Linked DNA regions of Pelodiscus sinensis. The protein of the gene in region 1 interacts with the protein of each later gene in a pairwise test. Links are inferred from orthologs where the notes say so. Each region holds a gene or a part of one and is shown on either strand. Other genes may lie near its edges. The genes, in order: COPG1, COPZ2 and COPZ1.

Region 1 (7,024 bases):
GCAGGGATTTAAATTTTCCCCGCTGTATTTGCATGAACATGGCTGCCACTTTTTTCCAGCTCGGGGCTTTGCCTGAGAAAAGCGCCAGTCTAGACAGGGATCTTTCGGAAAATAAAGCCTTTTCCGAAAGGTCCCTTATTCCTGATTTTAAGAGGAATAAGGGACCTTTCGGAAAAGGCTTTATTTTCCAAAAGATCCCGTCTAGACTGGCGCTTTTCTCCGGCAAAGCCCCGAGCCGGAAAAAAGCAGCAGCCATGTTTATACAAATGAAGCGGGGGATATTTAAATCCCCCGCTGCATTTGCAATTCCGACTTGTCTAATCTGCATCTCTTTTCTGGAAAAGGGGTGCAGTGTAGACACAGCCTTGGAGAGTCTATAAGTCAGTTTCTAGGCTGCTTTTTAACACGTGGTTTGACACGTACGATAATTTTTCTCATATACATGGTCACGAGGCTCCCCGTGTTTTATTAAAATTGGTTTATGAATATGAATATGCATAACTCAAAGGCATTTTCAGCAAAATGCATCATGTAACATTTTTAAAGTTATAATCTGCTAAATGTGTATCTTCTATTTCAGTGCATGTTTCATTCTTGTATGTGAAGTTAGAAATATGAAATGTAAACCTGTTTTATTAATGTAAGTCTTCTAGTGAAAACCATTAATGGTATTTAAAGAAACTTAATGGCCCAGCACTCAAGACAATGATCTGTAAATGAGTATGTTTTTACGTTTAAGTCCAAACTGTGGTAAGTCCTAGAAACCTGGTGCTGGAATCCATCTTGAATAAGGTATTTTTCCTTGGGGTGGGAAAATAAAACAAAGGGTTCCCACCCTGGGAAGTTTATACAAAAAAAAAAATCAGTCTTTTGTCATCAGATAGGGTTGGGGAGGCAATTTCAAAAGCTAAGAGGACACACAGGAAGAAACCTGAAAACAAAGTAGTGATGGAAAATCCATCAATTAGTTGATTAAACTAAATTTAACATCCACTAGTCAATAAGCAGGAAGCCGCAACGGGATCTGCAAGCAGGGAGTCAATTAGTCGATAAGCAGGAAGCCCACCCGGGAGCTAACCCCACTGCATCTCTGCCTTTTAAATGGAAAGGCTAAAGCGCAGGAGAGACCCAGCATGAGCCAGGACAGCTGATTCATGACTCATGCAGGATCCCCCTCCCTCCTTGCTGCACACCAGTCTTTTAAATGGATTAAGAGAGCTTGATGGCTCTTAATCCATTTAAAAGCTAAAACCAGGAGAAGGGACCCAGGGTTTTGGTCCTCTTTGTGGCTATGTTCCTGTGCTATCAAAGCCCTAAAGCTGAGTCCTCCCAGGGCTGAGCTGGTTCAACATCTTTGTTGCTCTGCTAGGGAGCTATGGCCCCAACTCTGCGCCTGGGCTGGGGGAGAGCTTTGGCCCAGCAGGGCACGATGGTGGAGAGCCCCAGAAGACAGATTGGCAGGCTAAGTGGCATGATCAGCATATCAGGTGACAGTCCCGAGGGGACCTCGCTGATATAACCTATCACATACATGTTAAATAGTCAGTTTCTTACTGTAAGTCCTGTATTAATATACAGAACAGCTAGGGTTACTGTGTCAAGTGCAGGTGGCACAGCTCCCTGAACTACTTCACCATCCTGAACTGCCATGAGAGCTGAATTGAGTTTCTCCATTTCCAAATTCTGTGGTCCATCCTCCAATGCTGTGTGGCACTCAAATACTGTGTAAAGGACATGGATCAAGTGTGTCCAATAATAATTTCCGCAATACTTATCCAATCCCCACTTTTCTTTTTATACTGTGTTCATCTCCATGCCTCCTGAGTCCCAACCCCTACTTTTGTATCAGTGCTACTCTCCTGCAAAGATCAGGACACCAATATTTTCACCAGGAGAAACACTTGTCTCCTGCTTCACATCGACATCAAACATCTTGAACAGCAATCTACGCACACACACACACACACACACACACACACCCCAAAATGTAAGCTGCACACACACACACACCCCAAAATGTAAGCTACACACACACACACACACCCCAAAATGTAAGCTACACACACACACACACACACACACACACACCCCAAAATGTAAGCTACACACACACACACACACACACACACACCCACCCCAAAATGTAAGCTGCCACTAAAAGGATCAGAGGTTACTCTATAAACTTGCAATTGGTACATCTGATACATCAGCCATATATTTTTAAAGCTGTCCACACATATGCTGGATGGGCCGGTGACCAGTTTGGGGGGGACAACGAGTCAAGACATGGGGAGGAAGGGAAGAGGAGGCAGAGCATGAGGGGACAGAGTAGTTAGGGTTTGGCTGGAGATCTATGTCATTTCAGGTGCATCCTCCTTAATCACCTGCCCTTCATTGTACATCTCGCTTTGAGACATCAGTGCAGTGCAGTGCAGTGCAGCGGGGGGGAGGGGGGGGATAAATCAACGGAAAGCAAGTTGAGGTGATCCGGGCAGAAAATGAAGGATTATTTGGCGGGTTGTTCCTGTGCTATCAATGCCCTAAAGCGGAGCCCTCCCAGGGCTGAGCTGGCTCAACATCCACCCAACTCCAAAGTTTCCTGGGGCGGGGGCGGGGGAGGGGGGGTCTGCAACGCTCGCAGGCTCCGCCAGAGCCACTGAGGAAGGCTGTGGGCAGAGTTAAGGGGGCCGCCTGGAAAAGTCACTAGCTGGGGGGCAGCCCGGGAAGGGGCCGACACCCGTGGCAAGGGGCTGGACGGACGCTGACCAGCAGAGCCCAGCCCCGGAGCCGCGGCGCGTTCGGAAGGAGAGCCCGGCCGGGGGGGGGGGGGGGTCCTCTACCCCGCTGGGCACGGCCGCCCCGCCCCCCCGCGGCGGGCCCGTCCCACACTCACCCGCCTCCTCATCCTTCTTATCGAACTTCTTCAGCATCCTGCCCTGCGCCGGGCGGGGGGCGCGCGGGGCCTGGAGGGCGGGGGCCGCACGAGCCGGGGGGGGGTCTCTATCCAGCACCTCCACTTCCGGCCTTGGCGCTGCTTCCTGCCAGCCTGTCACCGGGACAGCTCAGCCGGACAGCGCCGCGCACGCGCGTTGCGTGAGGGAGGTTGGTCGGGCTGACGTGGCTGCCTGGACCACCGCCCGCCCCAGGGGAGGAGGCGACAGCGCTGGGCGGGGCAGTGGCCGTGGGAGGCCCCGAGCCTGTGGGACAGTGGATGGGGGAGACGGGAGTGTCTGAGGGGCTGAAGAGCCTGCGGCGCAGCGACTGGGGGCAGGGCAGTGACTTGGGGGCACAGCTTGTAGGGAAGTGACGGGGCAGGGCAGTGATTTTGGGGCACAGCTTGTAGGGCAGCGACTGGGGGCAGGGCAGTGACTTGGGGGCACAGCTTGTAGGGCAGCGACTGGGGGCAGGGCAGTGACTGGGGGCACAGCTTGTAGGGCAGCGACTGGGGGCAGGGCAGTGACTGGGGGCACAGCTTGTAGGGCAGCGACTGGGGGCAGGGCAGTGACTGGGGGCACAGCTTGTAGGGCAGCGACTGGGGGCAGGGCAGTGACTGGGGGCACAGCTTGTAGGGCAGCGACTGGGGGCAGGGCAGTGACTTGGGGGCACAGCTTGTAGGGCAGCGACTGGGGGCAGGGCAGTGACTTGGGGGCACAGCTTGTAGGGCAGCGACTGGGGGCAGAGCAGTGACTTGGGGGCACAGCTTGTAGGGCAGCGACTGGGGGCAGGGCAGTGACTTGGGGGCACAGCTTGTAGGGCAGCGACTGGGGGCAGGGCAGTGACTTGGGGGCACAGCTTGTAGGGCAGCGACTGGGGGCAGGGCAGTGACTTGGGGGCACAGCTTGTAGGGCAGCGACTGGGGGCAGGGCAGTGACTTGGGGCACAGCTTGTAGGGCAGTGACGGGGCAGGGCAGTGACTTGGGGGCACAGCTTGTAGGGCAGCGACTGGGGGCAGGGCAGTGACTTGGGGGCACAGCTTGTAGGGCAGCGACTGGGGGCAGGGCAGTGACTTGGGGGCACAGCTTGTAGGGCAGCGACTGGGGGCAGGGCAGTGACTTGGGGGCACAGCTTGTAGGGCAGGGACTGGGGGCAGGGCAGTGACTTGGGGGCACAGCTTGTAGGGCAGCGACTGGGGGCAGGGCAGTGACTTGGGGGCACAGCTTGTAGGGCAGCGACTGGGGGCAGGGCAGTGACTTGGGGGCACAGCTTGTAGGGAAGCGACTGGGGGCAGGGCAGTGACTTGGGGGCACAGCTTGTAGGGCAGCGACTGGGGGCAGGGCAGTGACTTGGGGCACAGCTTGTAGGGCAGTGACTGGGGGCAGGGCAGTGACTTGGGGGCACAGCTTGTAGGGCAGTGACTGGGGGCACAGCTTGTAGGGCAGTGACTGGGGGCAGGGCAGTGACTTGGGGGCACAGCTTGTAGGGAAGCGACTGGGGGCAGGGCAGTGACTTGGGGCACAGCTTGTAGGGAAGCGACTGGGGGCAGGGCAGTGACTTGGGGCACAGCTTGTAGGGCAGCGACTGGGGGCAGGGCAGTGACTTGGGGCACAGCTTGTAGGGCAGTGACTGGGGGCAGGGCAGTGACTTGGGGCACAGCTTGTAGGGCAGCGACTGGGGGCACAGCTTGTAGGGCAGTGACTTGGGGCACAGCTTGTAGGGCAGTGACTGGGGGCAGGGCAGTGACTTGGGGGCACAGCTTGTAGGGCAGTGACTGGGGGCACAGCTTGTAGGGCAGTGACTGGGGGCAGGGCAGTGACTTGGGGGCACAGCTTGTAGGGCAGCGACTGGGGGCAGGGCAGTGACTTGGGGGCACAGCTTGTAGGGCAGCGACTGGGGGCAGGGCAGTGACTTGGGGGCACAGCTTGTAGGGAAGCGACTAGGGGCAGGGCAGTGACTTGGGGGCCCAGCTTGTAGGGCAGCGACTGGGGGCAGGGCAGTGACTTGGGGGCACAGCTTGTAGGGCAGCGACTGGGGGCAGGGTAGTGACTTGGGGCACAGCTTGTAGGGCAGCGACTGGGGGCAGGGTAGTGACTTGGGGCCACAGCTTGTAGGGCAGCGACTGGGGGCAGGGCAGTGACTTGGGGGCACAGCTTGTAGGGAAGCGACTGAGGGCAGGGTAGTGACTTGGGGGCACAGCTTGTAGGGAAGCGACTGGGGGCAGGGCAGTGACTTGGGGGCACAGCTTGTAGGGAAGTGACTGGGGGCAGGGCAGTGACTTGGGGGCACAGCTTGTAGGGCAGTGACGGGGCAGGGTAGTGACTTGGGGGCACAGCTTGTAGGGCAGCGACTGGGGGCAGGGCAGTGACTTGGGGGCACAGCTTGTAGGGCAGTGACGGGGCAGGGTAGTGACTTGGGGGCACAGCTTGTAGGGCAGTGACTGGGGGCAGGGTAGTGACTTGGGGGCACAGCTTGTAGGGCAGTGACTGGGGGCAGGGCAGTGACTGGGGGCACAGCTTGTAGGGCAGTGACTGGGGGCAGGGCAGTGACTTGGGGGCACAGCTTGTAGGGCAGCGACTGGGGGCAGGGCAGTGACTTGGGGGCACAGCTTGTAGGGCAGCGACTGGGGGTAGGGCAGTGACTTGGGGGCACAGCTTGTAGGGCAGCGACTGGGGGCAGGGCAGTGACTTGGGGGCACAGCTTGTAGGGAAGTGACTGGGGGCAGGGCAGTGACTTGGGGGCACAGCTTGTAGGGCAGTGACTGGGGGCAGGGTAGTGACTTGGGGCACAGCTTGTAGGGCAGTGACTTGGGGGCAAGGCAGTGACTTGGGGGCACAGCTTGTCGGGCAGTGACTTGGGGCACAGCTTGTCGGGCAGTGACTTGGGGGCACAGCTTGTAGGGCAGTGACTGGGGGCAGGGCAGTGACTTGGGGACACATTTTGTAGGGAAGTGACTGGGGGCAGGGCAGTGACTTGGGGGCACAGCTTGTAGGGAAGTGACCGGGGGCAGGGCAGTGACTTGGGGGCACAGCTTGTAGGGAAGTGACCGGGGGCAGGGCAGTGACTTGGGGGCACAGCTTGTAGGGGAGTGACCGGGGACAGGGTAGTGACTTGGGGGCACAGCTTGTAGGGCAGTGACTGGCGGGGGAGCAGTGCCTGGGGGAGCACAGCTTGTAGGGAAGTGACTGGGGGCAGGGTGGTGACTGGGGAAGGACACAGCCTGTGGAACGATAACCCATGAAGTTAACATTTCTCTGGACATAGGTTATTTCAAGTGTTGTGTGTGTTAATCTCCTGTTTCTCCATGCGGCCGGTTTGGGCCACAGGAACACTGTTTTCTGCTGAAGCTCAGTGCTGTAATTAAAGGGAGAATAACTTCTTTTAGATGTGGGATCTGGCAACACACACTAGATGAGGTCAGGCCACGGCATCCCTTCTGCACAGTGGTCTGCTCCACCAGACCCCTGTAGAATTAGGCAGCAAGGCTCAAAGTGGATGATATTTCCAGCCTATGGTGAAAGATGTGAGACACCTTTAAGGTGTATATTGAACCTACAGCTTTTGTGAAATGTTAAATCTAATCCTTTCTGCCATATCTACAGGGGACTATTGGAGAATGTATTAAAGAAAATCCAATGTGATTAATGAAGGGGCCTTGGTTCATGTTCTTTTCTGCAGTAATACACTGTGTGTTGTCTGTTGCCACATGTGAGCTATCACTGAGGTCAGAGTGGCTTTTGGGGTCATTTCTGCAGTCCTATTGTGCCCAGTTCCTATTTTCTTTCTGTAAGGGCCAGTGAGACACCCTGAGTACTCTTTACAATCATACTCTGTTCTGAAGCTTCAGGGAGTAACCGAGTTAGTCTGTTACAGAAAAAAACAACAAATGGTCTGGTAGCACTTTATAGACTTAACAAAATATGTAGATTCTCATGATACCGTCTACATGTTTTGTTAGTCTATAAAGTGCTACCAGACCATTTGTTGTTTTTATACTCTGTTCTGTTATTCCAGCTGTTGATGACACACAGTTGGATTTAAAGGCATCATTTCAGGAAATAACAGTTCCTCTCTGAATAAAGTTTGCATT
Region 2 (7,282 bases), on another chromosome or scaffold:
TGCAGGGTTAGCCCCCGGCGGGCTGTTAGTACTTTATTTACCTGTGCCTCCCAGGTACGGCCGCTTGTAGCTCCCATTGGCTGTGGATCGCCGCTCCCAGCCAATGGGAACTGTAGGAAGCGGTGTCTAGTTCCCCACCGCTTCCCACCGCTCTCATTGGCTGGGAACAGCAATCCGCAGCCAATGGGAGCTGTAGGAAATGGTGTCTAGGTCCCTGCCACTTCCTGCCGCTCTCATTGGCCGGGAACAGCGATCCGCAGCCAATGGGAGCTGTAGGAAGTGGTGTCTGGGTCCCCACCTCTCCCATTGGCTGGGAACAGCGATCCACAGCCAATGGGAGCTGTAGGAAGTGGTGTCTAGGTCCCCACCTCTCCCATTGGCTGGGAACAGCGATCTGCAGCCAATAAGAGCTGTAGGAAGTGGTGTCTGGGTCCCCGCCCGCTTCCCGCCGCTCCCATTGACCGGGAACAGCGATCTGCGGCCAACGGGAGCTGCAAGCGGCCGTACCTGCGGAGACGCAGGCTAACCCTGGCTGATTGCCCACCCCGGCCTCCGGGTCACACAGGCCCCACGCAGGACGTGTGTTCTGAGGTGAGTGGCTGATTTCCAGGTGCGGGAGATGAGTGTGGGAGCGTTGCACTCGTGGGCCCTCTCCTGCTGCTGGAGCTGCGCTCGGCCTGCTTCCCCGCGAGAGCTGTCACAGGGCTTCTGAGCGCGGCGGGAGGCCCGGAGAGGCGAAATGGCTTGCCCGAGCTCTCAGCAGTGCTGAGAATGGAGCCCAGAAGGCCGGACAGGTGCCCTCTGTGCTGGCCCATACGGCCCAGGAGGTGGCTTTGGCCCAGGTAGCTTTCTCCATCTCCTCAGCATGTGGGGTTGCGGCCAAGGAGACCTGCGCCTTGGCCGGTGGGGAAGGGCAGAGCCAAAGCCCGTCTCCTGGGGGGGCCAGAGGCCTGGGTTCAGTGTGTAGCTTCCAGGCCAGGTGGCGTTTACCTTGGCTAAGAGGCGCTGTCCATCGTTGTCCAAGATGAAAATGGCCTTGACCGTGTAGAGGGAAGGCTCCTGAAACTGACACAAGGGCAGCATGAAGCCAGCGGCCCGGTGGCGCCTCCAGAACCTGGGTGCCTCCCCTGCCCCGGGACGGGGTCGCCCCCCCCCAGTGACCTGAGGAGGCGGAAAGGGGGCTGCAGGGCTGTCTCCGCCCTCTGGAAGTGCCCAAAGAGCCCCTGGCCTGGTTCCAATCCACAGCCCTCCCCACGAAGCCAGAGGCCCCGATCCAGGCCCGATGCCCCGGCCCGAGAGCCAGAGGGGGGTGGGGGCCGCGGGCGCTCTGCGGAAGGGTCCGTCCAAGCCCAAGTTCTGTCATGCACTGACTGCTCCAGAGTCCGAGTCCAAGTGTACCACAGAACCTGAGCCGAGAGGACTGAGACAGGCCTCACCCCGGGACCGGAGGCTGAGAAAGGGACGGGGCTGGGACGGCTCAGAGGGGCCTGGCCCCAGACCCTCTGAGCTTTAGCCTGCCTGCCGAGAACAGCGGCTGCAGCAGGCTCCCCTCCAGCCCCCTGGCACTGCCCCCTCTCTTCCCCCCCACAGTTGCCCCCCTCTTCTGCCCCAGGGCTGTCCCCCTGCTCCCCGCTTCTGCCCCAGGCCTGCCCCCCTTTCCCTCTCTTCTCCCCCATGGCTGCCCCCTTCTCCTGCCCCATGGCTGTCCCCCTCTTCTGCCCCAGGGCTGTTCCCCTGCCCCCTCTTCTGTCCCAGGGCTGTCCCCCTGACCCCCTCTTCTCCCCCATGGCTGCCCCCATTCCCCTGCCTCCCTTTCCCCCCTCTTCTGTCCCAGGGCTGTCCCCCTGCCCTCCTCTTCTCCCCCATGGCTGCCCCCTTCCCCAGCCTCCCTTTCCCCCCTCTTCTGTCCCAGGGCTGTCCCCCTGCCCCCCTTTTCTCCCCCATGGCTGCCCCCTTCTCCTGCCCCCCTTTTCCCCCTCTTTTGCCCCAGGGCTGTCCCCCTGCCCCCCTCTTCTGTCCCAGGGCTGCCCCTTTCTCCTGCCCCCTTCCCCCCTCTTCTGCCCCAGGGCTGTCCCCCTGCCCCCCTCTTCTGTCCCAGGGTTGCCCCCTTCTCCTGTCCCCCTTTCCCCCCTCTTCTGCCCCAGGGCTGTCCCCCTGCCCCCCTCTTCTGTCCCAGGGCTGCCCCTTTCTCCTGCCCCCTTCCCCCCTCTTCTGCCCCAGGGCTGTCCCCCTGCCCCCCTCTTCTGTCCCAGGGTTGCCCCCTTCTCCTGTCCCCCTTTCCCCCCTCTTCTGCCCCAGGGCTGTCCCCCTGCCCCCCTCTTCTGTCCCAGGGCTGCCCCTTTCTCCTGCCCTCTTCCCCCCTCTTCTGCCCCAGGGCTGTCCCCCTGCCCCCCTCTTCTGTCCCAGGGCTGCCCCTTTCTCCTGCCCCCTTCCCCCCTCTTCTGCCCCAGGGCTGTCCCCCTGCCCCCCTTTTCTCCCCCATGGCTGCCCCCTTCTCCTGCCCCCCTTTTCCCCCTCTTTTGCCCCAGGGCTGTCCCCCTGCCCCCCTCTTCTGTCCAGGGCTGCCCCCTTCTCCTGCCCCCCTTTTCCCCCTCTTCTGCCCCAGGGCTGTACCCCTGCCCCCCTCTTCTGTCCCAGGGCTGCCCCCTTCTCCTGCCCCCCTTTTCCCCCTCTTCTGCCCCAGGGCTGTACCCCTGTCCCCCTTCTGGGCTCTGCTTCCTGGACTCGCCTTCTCTTCTCTCCTGCAGCCCCCGGGGTCCCCTCCCCGGCCCTGCGCCCCTGAACCCCGCCCCCCCACGGAGCTTCCAGCGCAGAAAGTTTTGCGCGGCCGGGAAGCTGGCGAGTTGGCGCCGCTGCGCGCAGCCCCCGGCCCCGCAGCCCGCCCGTACCAGCAGCCCCGTGGGGTCCATGGCTCCGGCGGCTGCAGCTGCCCGGTCCCCGCCGCCTCCGCCCCCCGGGGCAGCCCCCTCGGGCTGCTGACGTGGCCGGGCCTCGGCGCGCTGCATCCCGCGGCACGGAGCGCTCGGCCGGGCCGCTCCGCCCCGCGCCCCGCCCCGCCGCGCCCCCTGGGGCTGCGGTCCTGGGGGGCCGGGCTCCCCGCGCTGCTAGACCGGCCTGGGGGGAGCGCCCCCCCAGGGCCGCCTGCGCTAACGGGGGGAGCCAGTCGGGGTCCCCCCCGCCCAACAGGGGCCCCCGCCCGCAACAGCGGAGCCCCCCAACAGTCTTGCACTAAAGGGGGGGGCGGCTTGTAGCTAAAACCAGGCCCCTCCCCCACGCCCATAAGGGAGGGATCGGGGCGCTGCGCCCCCCAATACCTCGAGCTGCCTCCTCTGCAGTCAGGAAGCGGGGAGGGGGGGGGGGGATCAGTTCCTCAAGGGCTCCCCCTGCACAGATCTGGTCTCAAAGACCCCAGGGCAGCCTACAGCAATGTGGGGGGGAGCAGTGCCCCTCCTTTGCCCCCCCAATCTGGGGGGCTCTGGGGAGCCATGCAGTTCCCTACCTCGCAGGCGGAGGTGAGGGCCTAGCACATAGGTGTCATGGGGTGGGGGGGGGGGTGAGGGCGTCAGGTCACATGCACCCCTACCTGGGTCAAATGTCCCCCTAGATTTTAATTGCTGAAGCCGGGTGTCCCCACTTTGCCCCCCTCCCCGCAGGGCAGGGGGCTAGAGCCGGGCACGAGGCCCAGAGGTGTGTCTACCTGGCCCCCTCGCCACACCGCGTGGGGGAGCTCCGGGCTGACCCGTCCCTGGGGCATGCGGCTCAGACGCAGGCGGCCGGTCTCACCCATGGCTAGGTGGGTGCCATGGAAGCATCAGAACCGGGGGGAGGGGGGAGGCTGGGGCAGGAGGAGCTGACCTCAAGCGGCTCCCGCTCAGTGGTGCAGAGCGGGGCTAAGGCAGCTTCCTGCCTCTCCTGGCCCCGCAGATGCTGCTGCCCCCAGAGGCACCCGGCAGCGGGTTCCCAGCCCATGGGAGTGTGGAGCTAGTGCTAGGGGCAGGCACAGAGTGCAGAGCGTTGTGTGTTCCCCTCCCCACCTAGGAGCCAGGCCTGCTGCAGCCACTTCTGGGGCGCAGCCCAGTCTGTGGGGCCGGGCCAGGCAGATCGTCCTGGGCTGGGCTGACCCACGTGGTGCCAGGCGGGGGTGCGGGGTATGTCTAGGACCAGACCATGGTCCCAGCCGTTGCCCTTCACTGGTCACCCCTGTGAACATCTAACCCAAGTCTCCCTGGCTGCAAATTAAATGGCTCCTTCCGTGTCCCGTCCTCAGTGGGCAAGAGGAGCAGCTGGACACTCTGTGTAGTGCCCAGGCCTGTGGGACGAGTCACCTGCCGCAATGACCTCCGGTCCCCCCCACGGCTCCTCAGGGAAAACTGAGCCAAGAGCCTCTGGACTCAGCACCCAAAGCCACCCCCTGGCAGCAACAGCAGACGCTTCTCATGTGCAGACCTCTGCACCAATAGCTTCTACTGGCCCCGTTCGGAGTCAGCTGCAGCACAGAGACTTGCCTAAGGCCACCGGAAGAATCAGTGGCGGAGCAAGGGTTAGCGGTTTCGCCTCCCAGTTCCCCTCGTGCCAGCCGTTAAGCCCTGGAACGCTGGCATTGGCATTTATTGGGCCAACTTCAGCTCTATGGAAGTCAATGCTCCTGGGCAGGCTTACGCCCGGTCTGAATCCGGCTCCCCTGTCTTTGGAGCTGTGCTGGTCAAACACAGAGCAGCCCTTCCATTGGCGTGAGGCCTCCTGGCCTCGCTAAAGTCACCGACGCGCGTGACTGGTGTGGGGGGGCCAGTCGTCCGGATCTGTTTGGACACGGACGGGAGAGGTGGTGGGGAACGCTCAAACCACGCTGCACTGTTGGGAGACTCCCCACGGGAAAGGTTGAAGGGCAGTGGAACGGTGTAACCGGTGTGTCTGTGAATTACGGCAGCCTCTGGGGCTGGTCTTCCTCACACCAGGAGCCTCACTGACCTGTGAGCTACCCAAAACCTTGCAGGAGAAACAGACGTAGCAAGGGTGTTATGCAACCCGGAGGCAAAAGCAAAATTTGTGTCCTCTCCTCCCCACCGCCAGTATGTGGCAGGGCCTCGAACCTAGCGCTCAGCTAAACCAGACCTTGGGAGGAGGAGCTTGTACAGCGTCTTTCCCCGCCCCCTCCAGTTTGGGGCTGGCCCCCCCACTAACCTGCCAGCGGAGATGGAGGAGGGGCGGGCATGAGGCTCCAGCTGGTGGCATTGGGCGGAGGAGGAGCAGGCGAGCCGAGGGGGACTAAACTGGCACCCTCCTAGCATGGTGCCCAGGGGCAACTGCCCCCCTACCTTCCCCCCTTGCTACACCCCTGGGGAGAAAAGGTTCTTAAAGCCCCCCCCGAGCTGCTGCCTTTGTGCTGCGTTTCACAGCCGGGCCTTAAGTCGGCTTTTGGTGCTGTCTGCATGGCAGGAAGCTGAAGGGAGAACGCTCTTCCTTCCACTTCCCTTACTCCTCGTGAAATGAGAGTTACAGAAGTCGGAGCAAGAAGCTCGTTATTTTGAAATTATTTCAAAATAACAGGCTTGCTGGATTGATGTGCAGCCCACACTGGGTGTGGGTCACTGGCCCATGGAGAGGCACCTAGGCCACTTACAGAGGGTACGTCTACACTACAGCGCTAGTTCGAACTAACTTAGTTCGAATTAGTTAATTCGAACTAAGCTAGTTCGAACTAACGCATCTAGAACTAAAAACTAGTTCGAACTAGCGTTTTGCTAGTTCGAACTAGTAAGTCCACATTGAGTGGACTCTGAACAGGGCTTAAGGATGGCCGGAAGCAGTGCCGGCAGGGCATAAAAGGAGGACTTAGAGCATGGAGATACTGTCTCAGGCTAGCCGAGGGCTGCGCTTAAAGGGTCCCGACCCCCACCCCGGACACACAGTTCTAAGGGGTGCCCCGCTTGCAAAGAAGTTCTGGCTTGGAGTGCCCTGAGTGCCCACACTGGGCACATCACACCACTCGGCCATCAGCCCGGCTGCACTTGCCGCAGGCTGCCATCTGGGGAGAGGGAGTAATTGGGGGGCTGCAGGAGAGCTTCCACCCCCAGAAGCCCGCAGAGCCAGCCCAGTCCTCCCCATCGGGGGCTCGTACCCCATTCCTCCCTCACCTCCTTCCACTTGCCCTTCCCTAGCCCCCCTTCTTCTTGATGTACAAAATAAAGATAACGTTTCTTCCAACATTGACTCTGTCTTTATTGAAAAAAACTGGGGGAGACTGGGAAAAGGAGGTGGGAGAGGGGAAGAGAAAGGCTGGGAGAGGGGAGGGCAACTAACATGATCAGGGGTTGGGAACAGGTCCCAGATGAAGAGAGGCTACAGAGACTGGGACTGTTCAGCTTAGAAAAGAGGAGACGGAGGGGGGACAGGATAGAGGTCTCTAAAAGCAGGGGTTGGGTGGAGAGGGTGCATTCAGAAAAGTTCTTCCTGAGTTCCCATAAAGAAGGACTAGAGGACACCAAAGGAAAGGAATGGGTAGCAGGCTTGAAACTAGTAAGAGAAAGTTGTTCTTGACAAAGCAAATAGTTAACCTGTGGAACTCCTTGCTGCAGGAGGCTGTGAAGGCTAGAACTAGAACAGAGTTTAAAGGGAAGTGAGATCAAGTCATGGAGGTTGGGTCCATGGAGTCCTATTAGCCAGAGGGTAGGAGTGGTGTCCCTGCCCAAAGTTTGTGGAAGGCTGGAGAGGGATGGCACGAGACAAATGGCTTGGTCATTGTCTTCGGTCCATCCCCTCCAGGGTCCCTAGGGTTGGCCGCTGTTGGCAGACAGGCTACTGGGCTAGATGGACCTTTGGTCTGACCCAGTACGGCCATTGTAAGCTCAGGGCTCAGTGTCGGGGGTCTCAGTGGACCCCCTTGATTTTCATGCACACCTGGTCCTGGGTGGCCAGGCTGGCAGCTCTCCTGCCCTAGACGGCCACTTTCCTGTGCCTAGTGCGGAGATCGTGGACGAGGTCCACGATGTCCGCACTAGCCCAGGAAGGTGCCCGCCTCTTGCGGTCCAGGGCAAGCTCCCGGGAGCCGCCAGCCTGGTCCCGGCAAGAGGGGGTGGGCTGGGGGACATCGGGTGGGTGGCTCTGTGCCGTGCCAGGTGCAGGGTCTGCTAGCTGGGTGCTGGCAGGCTTGCACCTGGCACGGGCACCGTAGCCAGCCCGTGCCCCTTTAAGGGGTCCGGGGCCGGGAGGGGGGCATAGAGTTTCCCTGGTGTTGGCCAGAGTGGCCACCAGGGAAACCTGGGGAGGGCTAGCCTCCCACTAG
Region 3 (7,742 bases), on another chromosome or scaffold:
CTGCGGCAGAGCCCCCGTGGGCCAGGACCCCCCCGGCGAGGGCTGCAGAGCACGCGAGGGGGTGGGGGGCCCAGGAGACAGACGCTAAGAAGCTCTCGAGACAAAGTTCTGTGATGCACTGACCCCTCGTAGCCACGGCCGGAGTGTAACACAGAACTTCACCTCAAACGCTGCGGCTCCGCATCGGGGCACGGGCCCCCCAGGCCCCCGGCCAGGCCACGGGGCAGGAACCCACCCGCCTGTGGGTCAGGGGCGGGCAAGGCACTTCCCAGCGGGGCCCGGTAACCTCCCCTGCAGCTGAGACTCTGCCAAGGAGAACCGGCCCCTGGGGGAGGCTGCCAGGGCCTGCCCCACATGCAGCCAATCGCCCGGGATGCCCTCTGCCCTCCATCGAGGCCGCCAGTGCCCAGCACAGTCCAGGATCGGGCCCCCGACTGGCTTCCCTGGGGCACAGCATGGCAGGGCCCCGTCTCTGCGACCCCAAGGGCCCCTCCCCAGAGTGGCTCCTCCTTGTGTCTCCAGGGGCAGGGGGAGAGGACAGGAGCCTGGCTTCTCGGGAGGGGGCTCCCCCCGGAGCCAAGCACGGCCGAGGCGGCAGGGAATGGGCCAGATCCTGCGGCCCCTGCCCTCAGGAAGGGCCCCGTCAGAAAGCCGGGCTCAGCCCCAGCCCCGAATCCAAACCACGGGCTGAACCTGCCAGGAGCAACCAAGCCATGGGGGGAGGGTCCTCCTTTTGTGGGGCACCCTAAGGGTCTGACTGGGGGGCGCACAACCTGAGGCCCAATGCTCAGAGGCACCAGGCACCCGCTGCCCCCCCGGACAGCACCGCAAGTGACCAGTGACTCTTCTGGGCTTGTCACCATGGGGAGTCAATCCCATTAACGCAGCGTGTGGACGCTCTCGCTCCGGGCTAAGGGGGCCTTACTCCGAATTCGCTTAATCCCCCCCAGCGCGTGAGGGGTTAAACTGCCCTTCCTCCACTAACCAGCGCACAGAATCAACGTGGCCGGATGGGATTTGCAGACGCACTTTGCTTTATTCAAGCCCACGCCGGCCCGTAACTGCATCCCGTCCCGGTCCGGAGATTCCCCTCCAAGGCGGGGCTCAGCTGGATGGGCAGCCCTGCAGATCTAGGTTCCCCTCCAAGCCCTGCCCCCCAGACGGCTCACCCTCAACTGGACCCAGCCTCTCTAGAGGCGGCGAAGGGGACCGACCCGGAGGGCAGGGCTACACAATCCAAAGGAAGCAGCTTGAAAAGCCACAAGCTTCTTTGGCACCTGGCTTGTAACTCTCAGTAGCCTGGCAAGCTAGAGGGAAAAGCGCTGCCTCTCCCCCTCCCAGCCCCTCTGCGCGGAAAGGAGACGCAAGCCCGGCAGAGAAAGCCAGAGGATTTTACACGGCTCCGGAGCCAGGCTGCACTGCGGAGCACAGCGAAGCAACCCACGTTTTAAAGCTGTAACACGCGCTTCTGGGGCAGAGGGCCCGGCGGGCGGGACGCTGCGGCCTGGTCTCTCTGGAGGCTTTTGGTTTGGGCCGAGGGCCGTGTCAAGCCAACAAGACGCCCCGCGTTGGGGCACACACGGGGCTGACGGTGTCATTCAAACGTGTCAATAAATGAGACTTCAGCCAATGCAAGCGGGCGCTCGGCCGTCCAGCACGCAAACAGTAGCTGTGCCACAGCCGGTTCTCGCTGCCAGGACCCGAACTAGGGCACGGGGCCAGAGGAGAGATGCACGCAGCCAAGCACTGTGGCTCGGACTTTAGTATTATTAGCAGCAAAGGCGACTAGGGAATCTGTCTGCAGACAAAGGAGAGAGGCAGGGAGCTGCGGGCAGCAAGACAGAAGGGCACTTTAGACCAGGTGTCGGCAGCCTCAGTAGGCCTCCGACCGCTTTACAAAGAAAGATGGCGACAGCAGCGGAAACTGAGGCAGGGACGTCACGTCCAGCAGCTGGCCAGTGGCAGAGCTGGGAACAGAAGCCAGGAGCCCTGACTCGCCAACAAAAAATACGGGCAAGCAAGTAGCAGGGCTTCCCGGATCACCCAGCCGGCTACTTGGCTGGGAAGGAATCGTACCCACAGAACGACTTCACCCTTCAGAACAACCCTCCGGACGGCTGGGCTCTGGGGTACAAGGTAATAAAAGCTTGAGGCCGGGGATGTTTCTGCGCCAAGACATGGCAGGTTCACCTTCCCGGCCCTCGAACAGCTGCTGGCCCAGACACACAAAGCCCACAGAGGTTTTCACTCCCCTAGATTCATCCCCCAACCCTGGCTCCAGCCCCACGGATCCCTCCCCAGACCAGAGCTGCCCTGAAGGGTTTAACAGAGCTGCCCCTCCCCCATCAGCCCTGCCCCTCCCTCCATCTCCCCCCCCCCCGGGGCTGTGCCCCTCCCCCATCAGCAGCGACCCCTCCCCCCATCTCCCCCCCCCCCGGGGCTGTGCCCCTCCCCCATCAGCAGCGACCCCTCCCCCCATCTCCCCCCCCCCGGGGCTGTGCCCCTCCCCCATCAGCAGCGACCCCTCCCCCCATCTCCCCCCCCCCGGGGCTGTGCCCCTCCCCCATCAGCAGCGACCCCTCCCCCCATCTCTCCCCCCCGGGGCTGTGCCCCTCCCCCATCAGCAGCGACCCCTCCCCCCATCTCCCCCCCCCCCGGGGCTGTGCCCCTCCCCCTTCAGCAGCGACCCCTCCCCCCATCTCCCCCCCCCAGGGCTGTGCCCCTCCCCCCATCTCCCCCCCTCGGGGCTGTGCCCCTCCCCCATCAGCAGCGACCCCTCCCCAATCTCCCCCCCCGGGGCTGTGCCCCTCCCCCTTCAGCCCCCCCCGGCGGCGCCCGCTCCCCCGGCCCGCTCCTACCAGGATCAGCGCCTCCATCTTGCCCTCCGCGATGCCTACGTGGAGCCGGAGCGACAGGGGCCGCGCGCCATTGGTTACTCGCCCGCCAATCGCAGCTCGGGGCCCCGCCCCCTTCCGCATTCTAACTGCTCATTGGCTGGCGACCCTATCCCGGCCAGCCAACCAGAAAGTGGCTTCCAATAAGTGGGCGGGGCCCGCTGGGCCCCGCCCCACCGCCCTCGGAGAGCGTGTTCGGCGATTGGAAGGCGCCCCTGTCGGTCACTCGCTCCGCCCCCGCCGCAGCGCCGGGAGGGCGGGCTAGTTCCCACGGCGACCAGCGAAGCGGTGACGTCAGGCCCCTCGCCGGCACGTCACATGACCGGAAGCAGCCCCGACCCGCCTTCATGGGGGTCATGACCCTGAGGGCAGGGGGAGGAGTCATGCTGGTGGGCGGGGCCAGTCATTCCCCTCCCCCCCGCAGGCCAATGGCTCCCCCTGGGGGTGTGCACCCATGTGACCTCCATATGTCACCCCCCCCACCCCGTGCCTCAGTTTCCCCGCTAGCCCCACGGGGGCACATGGCCCAGGCATGGGGGGGGGCCCCTGACCCGCGCCCCGACACCCCCCAGCAGGGCCCAGGGCCTTGGGCTGAGGAGCGTCGCCCGGGCTGCAGGGGTCCGGAGAGCGGGGGGCTAAGGCAGCCCCCGGCCTGGCCTGGCTCCTGGGGTGGGGGGAGCACACGGGGCTCCCTGCCCCGAGCACTCGCCCCGCACTCCCGCCGGCCGGGAACCTGCTGCCTGTCTGCAGTGCACCGGGGGCTGAGGCAGCGTCCTGCTCCGCCTGGCCCCTCACACCGGGCTGCGCCCCAGACGCAGCCGGCAGCGGGTTCCCGGCCCGTGGGAGTGGAGTCCCCTCCTGCCCCACAAAGCTCCCCACCTCGGCCCCAGCCACACTACGTTGGGTCACGCGCATCCGCAATTTTTTCCAAACTGGGTCACGAGGGGAAAAGTGTGAAATCCCCCCCCCCCTCCCGGGGGTTACACTTGCCCCAGCTCCAGCTTCTGCTGCACTTTGGAGCAAGAGGGGGAGTGCTGGGCCCTGCAGCTGTGATGCAGCAGCAGACAACGCTGCCTGGGGAGAGGGACCCCGCCCCTAGCGAGAGGGCAGCTCCTGAAGCCGAGGGACGGGGGCTCAGCTGGGGAGGAGGCAGTTGGAAAGAGGTTCGGAAAGAAGGAGGTAACAAGAGGTGGGCTCTGCTAGAGGAAGCCGAGCTGTGTGGAGCACCCGGCAGAGAGGGGCAGAAAGCGTATGACAGGCCAGGCTGCCCCTCGGGACTCAGAGGAAATCCAGTCTGGCTCCCTGGCTACAGGGGTGAACCCCTCTGAAAGGGGGCTGGGCGGAGCAGCCGTGCACAGAAGGAGCAATAAGGCCCAGAGGGGAAGCTAGACTCTGCAGCCGGGCGGATCTTCTCGCTGTGCCGGAGACGGATTTCTTTTATTATTATGGTCACCGGCACTTTATTTTGTTCCTTAACAAATAAGGCTCTGCAGCCAGGGAGGTTGAGGTCGGACATGAGGAAAATCTTCCCACCTGTCCGGGGGGTGAAACGCTGGAATCAGTTGCCTGGGGAGGTCGTGGAATCTCCCTCCCTGGAGATATCTAAGAGCAGAGTGGACAGACGCCTGCCAGGGATGATCTAGACGGTGCTGGGTCCTGCCGTGAGGGCGGGGGACTGGACTTGACGTCTCAAGGTCCCTTCCCCTCCTAGGATTCTTCCCTGGCTGCAGCCGTGCGGTGGGACGCCATCCTGGGACTGCTCCAGCTCTGGGCTAGCTGGTGCAGCCGAGGCGTGGCTCAGCTGGCTGACTGGGTTTGGTCTGGGGCGGCAGTGACATGGGCGGGGGGTGCATAGAGCAGAGGCCAGGGATGAACTGGAGATGCCCTGTGCACTGAGAGACCTCTCACCCCTCCTGGAAATCCGCTGAATCCTGTCTCAGGCCTGGCTCCGGCCTATGCCTGGTTGGACGGCAGCAGGTGGGGGCAGTGAGAGACCAAGCCACACTCCGGTTACACCCTGGGAAGAGCAAAAGCAACCCCCCCCCCCGCAGGGCCACTCCCCACAACATCCCCCCAAGGAGGTGCCACTCTGTGCAGCTGGTCCTGCCCCCCCCTTGGGCTCCGTGTGCCACGGGCAGCGTGGTGCAGGGAGCGGAACTGAAAGAGAAAGTGGAGCTGGGCCAGGCAGACGCTGTGCCAAGGTCGTGTTTGTATTTCCTGGCGGTGCCCATGGGGAGGCGGGACGTGGGGGGGGGGGGGCAGGTCTCCTGGCTTCTCTTGCTGGCTCTGGGGAGGGGCTGGGGTGTAGGGAGTTAGAGGGGAGCTGGGGTTCTCTGTCTTGCTTTACCACCGGCTCACTGGCTGCTCCTGGGGGCAAGGCGTCCATTCCCAGCCTGCCCTGCCCTGTTGTGGGGCGTTGGGCCGGGCCCCGACTGGTCTCACTGCAACCCTGCGAGGGGGGGGGGAGGGCCGGGAGCCGGGGGAAACCCCAGCCCCTGGGCCCTGCGCAGGTGGCAGGCTGATTGGGCTTCTCCACCGCGGACCCGTGACTCAGCAAAGCAAAAGCAAAAGCAAGAGCCCTGTCCGGCAGCAGAGGAGGTGAGTGATGGGGAGGAGGGGTGGGGGAGGAGACGGTCTGTCTGCCTCCGGGACCCATGCCCCCCCCCGAGTCAATGCCCCAGGAGCCTGGCAGCCGGGCAGTGCTGGCTCTGTGCCCCCGGCCTCACCTCTGTGGTCCCAGTCGCTGGGGCTCTGGGGGACTCGGCTTTGGGGGGGACTGCAGATTGGAGAATCGGGGCAGCTTCCCTCTATAATAAGCCGAGCACGGGGGAAAGAGGGGCAGGAGGCCAGGCCAGGGGACTGGCTCGCAGGACACCTGGGTTCCTCTGCCAGCCCCACCACGGATCTGCTGGCCGAGCCCCTGCCTTGGCCCGGAGCCTCAATTTCCCCATCTGCAAATTGGGGGTGATTCCCCTACCCCCGGTGCTGGAATCCTAGGGGAGTCCTCCCATGATCAGGCGTGAGCTGCTCCAGAGTCGGGGCCAACACTGACCCACCCCCCGGACCAGTTCCCTGACCTTGGGGGTAGCATCCCCCTTCAGATCCTTCCAGCGCCCTGCCAGCCTGTGGCCCCCCAGAAAGCTGAACCCCAGACCCAGTCTGGCCCCAGCTCTGGCCTGATTCTCCCCCCCTTAGGGCCTGACCCTGATGGCGGAGAAGCCCAAGCGCCGCCGTCTCGGCTTGGCCCAGCACCCCCTGCTGCTCGCGCCGGAGCCCCAGGGGCTGGGCCGGGGCGGGCAGGTGCTGGAGTTGGCCGGCCCGGAGGAGGTCCACGTCCACCAGCGAGACGGCGTCCTGATCTGCGATGACTTCCTGCTGGGGCAGTGCCCGGCGGGGGGCCGCTGCCTGCGCCACCACACCCCCAAGCCCTTCCACTGGCAGGTGCGGCGCCAGGCGGACGGGGTGTGGCTCAGCGTGGGCCCCGCCGCCCAGCAGCTCCTGGAGAAGCTCTACTGCAGCCCCAGCCACCGCGAGGTGCAGCTGCTGGACAAGTAGGTGGCTGGGGGGACGTGGCCCGGCAGGCGGGAGAGGTGGGTGCGTCGCCCAGATGCTCGCTGCCAGCGTGGGGGGGGGGGGTGTCCCTCAGTGACAGCTCTCCTGCTTCCCCCCCAGGCCAGGCTCGTCCTGGACCCTCGACCTCAACTCCATGGAGCTGACGCCCCACCAGCTCTACGACCGCGTCCGGCGCCTCTCCAACACCAGCGACCCCAGCCGCAACCCCTACTTCCCCGTGGAGTGGCAGGTGTACTGGGAGGAGTGGGGCCAGTGGCTCGTGTACGAGGAGGTGAGGGAAGGGGGGGATCCCAGGAGAGGGGCGGGGGAGAAAAGAAAGGCCTGTGTGGTCTGGTGTGAAGAGCAGCGTGGCTGGAGGGGGGGTGTGGCTGAGGGGAGCAGGACAAAGCAGCAGGCAGGGAGCAGGTGTGTGGCCCGGGGAGCAGCGTGGCTGGAGCGGATACGTGGCCGGGGGAGCAGCGTGGCTGGAGCGGATACGTGGCCGGGGGAGCAGTGGGCTGGAGCGGATACGTGGCCGGGGGAGCAGTGGGCTGGAGCGGATACGTGGCCGGGGGAGCAGTGGGCTGGAGCGGATACGTGGCCGGGGGAGCAGCGTGGCTGGAGCGGATACGTGGCCGGGGGAGCAGCGTGGCTGGAGCGGATACGTGACCGGGGGAGCAGTGGGCTGGAGCGGATACGTGGCCGGGGGAGCAGCGTGGCTGGAGCGGATACGTGGCCGGGGGAGCAGTGGGCTGGAGCGGATACGTGGCCGGGGGACCAGCGGGCTGGAGCGGATACGTGGCCGGGGGAGTGGCGTGGCCGGGGGACCAGCGGGCTGGAGCAGATACGTGGCCGGGGGAGTGGCGTGGCCGGGGGACCAGCGGGCTGGAGCGGATACGTGGCCGGGGGCGTGGTGTGGCTGGAGCGGATGTCAGCGTGGCCAGGGGAGTGGAATGCCTGGGGGACCAGCGGGCTGGAGCAGATACGTGGCCGGGGGAGCAGTGGGCTGGAGCAGATACGTGGCCGGGGGAGCAGCGTGGCTGGAGCGAATACGTGGCCGGGGGAGCAGCGTGGCTGGAGCGGATACGTGGCCGGGGGAGCAGCGTGGCTGGAACGGATACGTGGCCGGGGGAGCAGGGGGCTGGAGCGGATACGTGGCCGGGGGCGTGGTGTGGCTGGAGCGGATGTCAGTGTGGCCAGGGGAGTGGAATGCCTGGGGGACCAGCGGGCTGGAGCGGATACGTGGCCGGGGGCGTGGTGTGGCTGGAGCGGATGTCAGTGTGGCCAGGGGAGTGG

What was found.
Region 2: the proteins of COPG1 (region 1) and COPZ2 interact in a two-hybrid assay, tested with the Homo sapiens proteins (2 studies listed by BioGRID). The link is inferred for Pelodiscus sinensis from reciprocal best matches to the Homo sapiens genes COPG1 and COPZ2.
Region 3: the proteins of COPG1 (region 1) and COPZ1 interact in a two-hybrid assay, tested with the Homo sapiens proteins (2 studies listed by BioGRID). The link is inferred for Pelodiscus sinensis from reciprocal best matches to the Homo sapiens genes COPG1 and COPZ1.

Annotation. Positions count from the first base shown.
Region 1 is NC_134721.1:25,627,666-25,634,689, forward strand, and holds the start of COPG1 (coatomer subunit gamma-1), read right to left. Parts: upstream 3,082-7,024; 5' UTR 2,931-3,081; coding exon 2,894-2,930; intron 1-2,893. UniProt on the Homo sapiens protein: The coatomer is a cytosolic protein complex that binds to dilysine motifs and reversibly associates with Golgi non-clathrin-coated vesicles, which further mediate biosynthetic protein transport from the ER, via the Golgi up to the trans Golgi network.
Region 2 is NC_134739.1:13,715,714-13,722,995, forward strand, and holds the start of COPZ2 (coatomer subunit zeta-2), read right to left. Parts: upstream 3,049-7,282; 5' UTR 3,006-3,048; coding exon 2,889-3,005; intron 1,066-2,888; coding exon 991-1,065; intron 1-990. UniProt on the Homo sapiens protein: The coatomer is a cytosolic protein complex that binds to dilysine motifs and reversibly associates with Golgi non-clathrin-coated vesicles, which further mediate biosynthetic protein transport from the ER, via the Golgi up to the trans Golgi network.
Region 3 is NC_134729.1:1,253,444-1,261,185, reverse strand, and holds the start of COPZ1 (coatomer subunit zeta-1), read right to left. Parts: upstream 3,001-7,742; 5' UTR 2,979-3,000; coding exon 2,859-2,978; intron 1-2,858. Other genes in the region: protein mono-ADP-ribosyltransferase TIPARP-like, read left to right, coding at 4,850-5,095, 6,090-6,445, 6,567-6,738. UniProt on the Homo sapiens protein: The coatomer is a cytosolic protein complex that binds to dilysine motifs and reversibly associates with Golgi non-clathrin-coated vesicles, which further mediate biosynthetic protein transport from the ER, via the Golgi up to the trans Golgi network.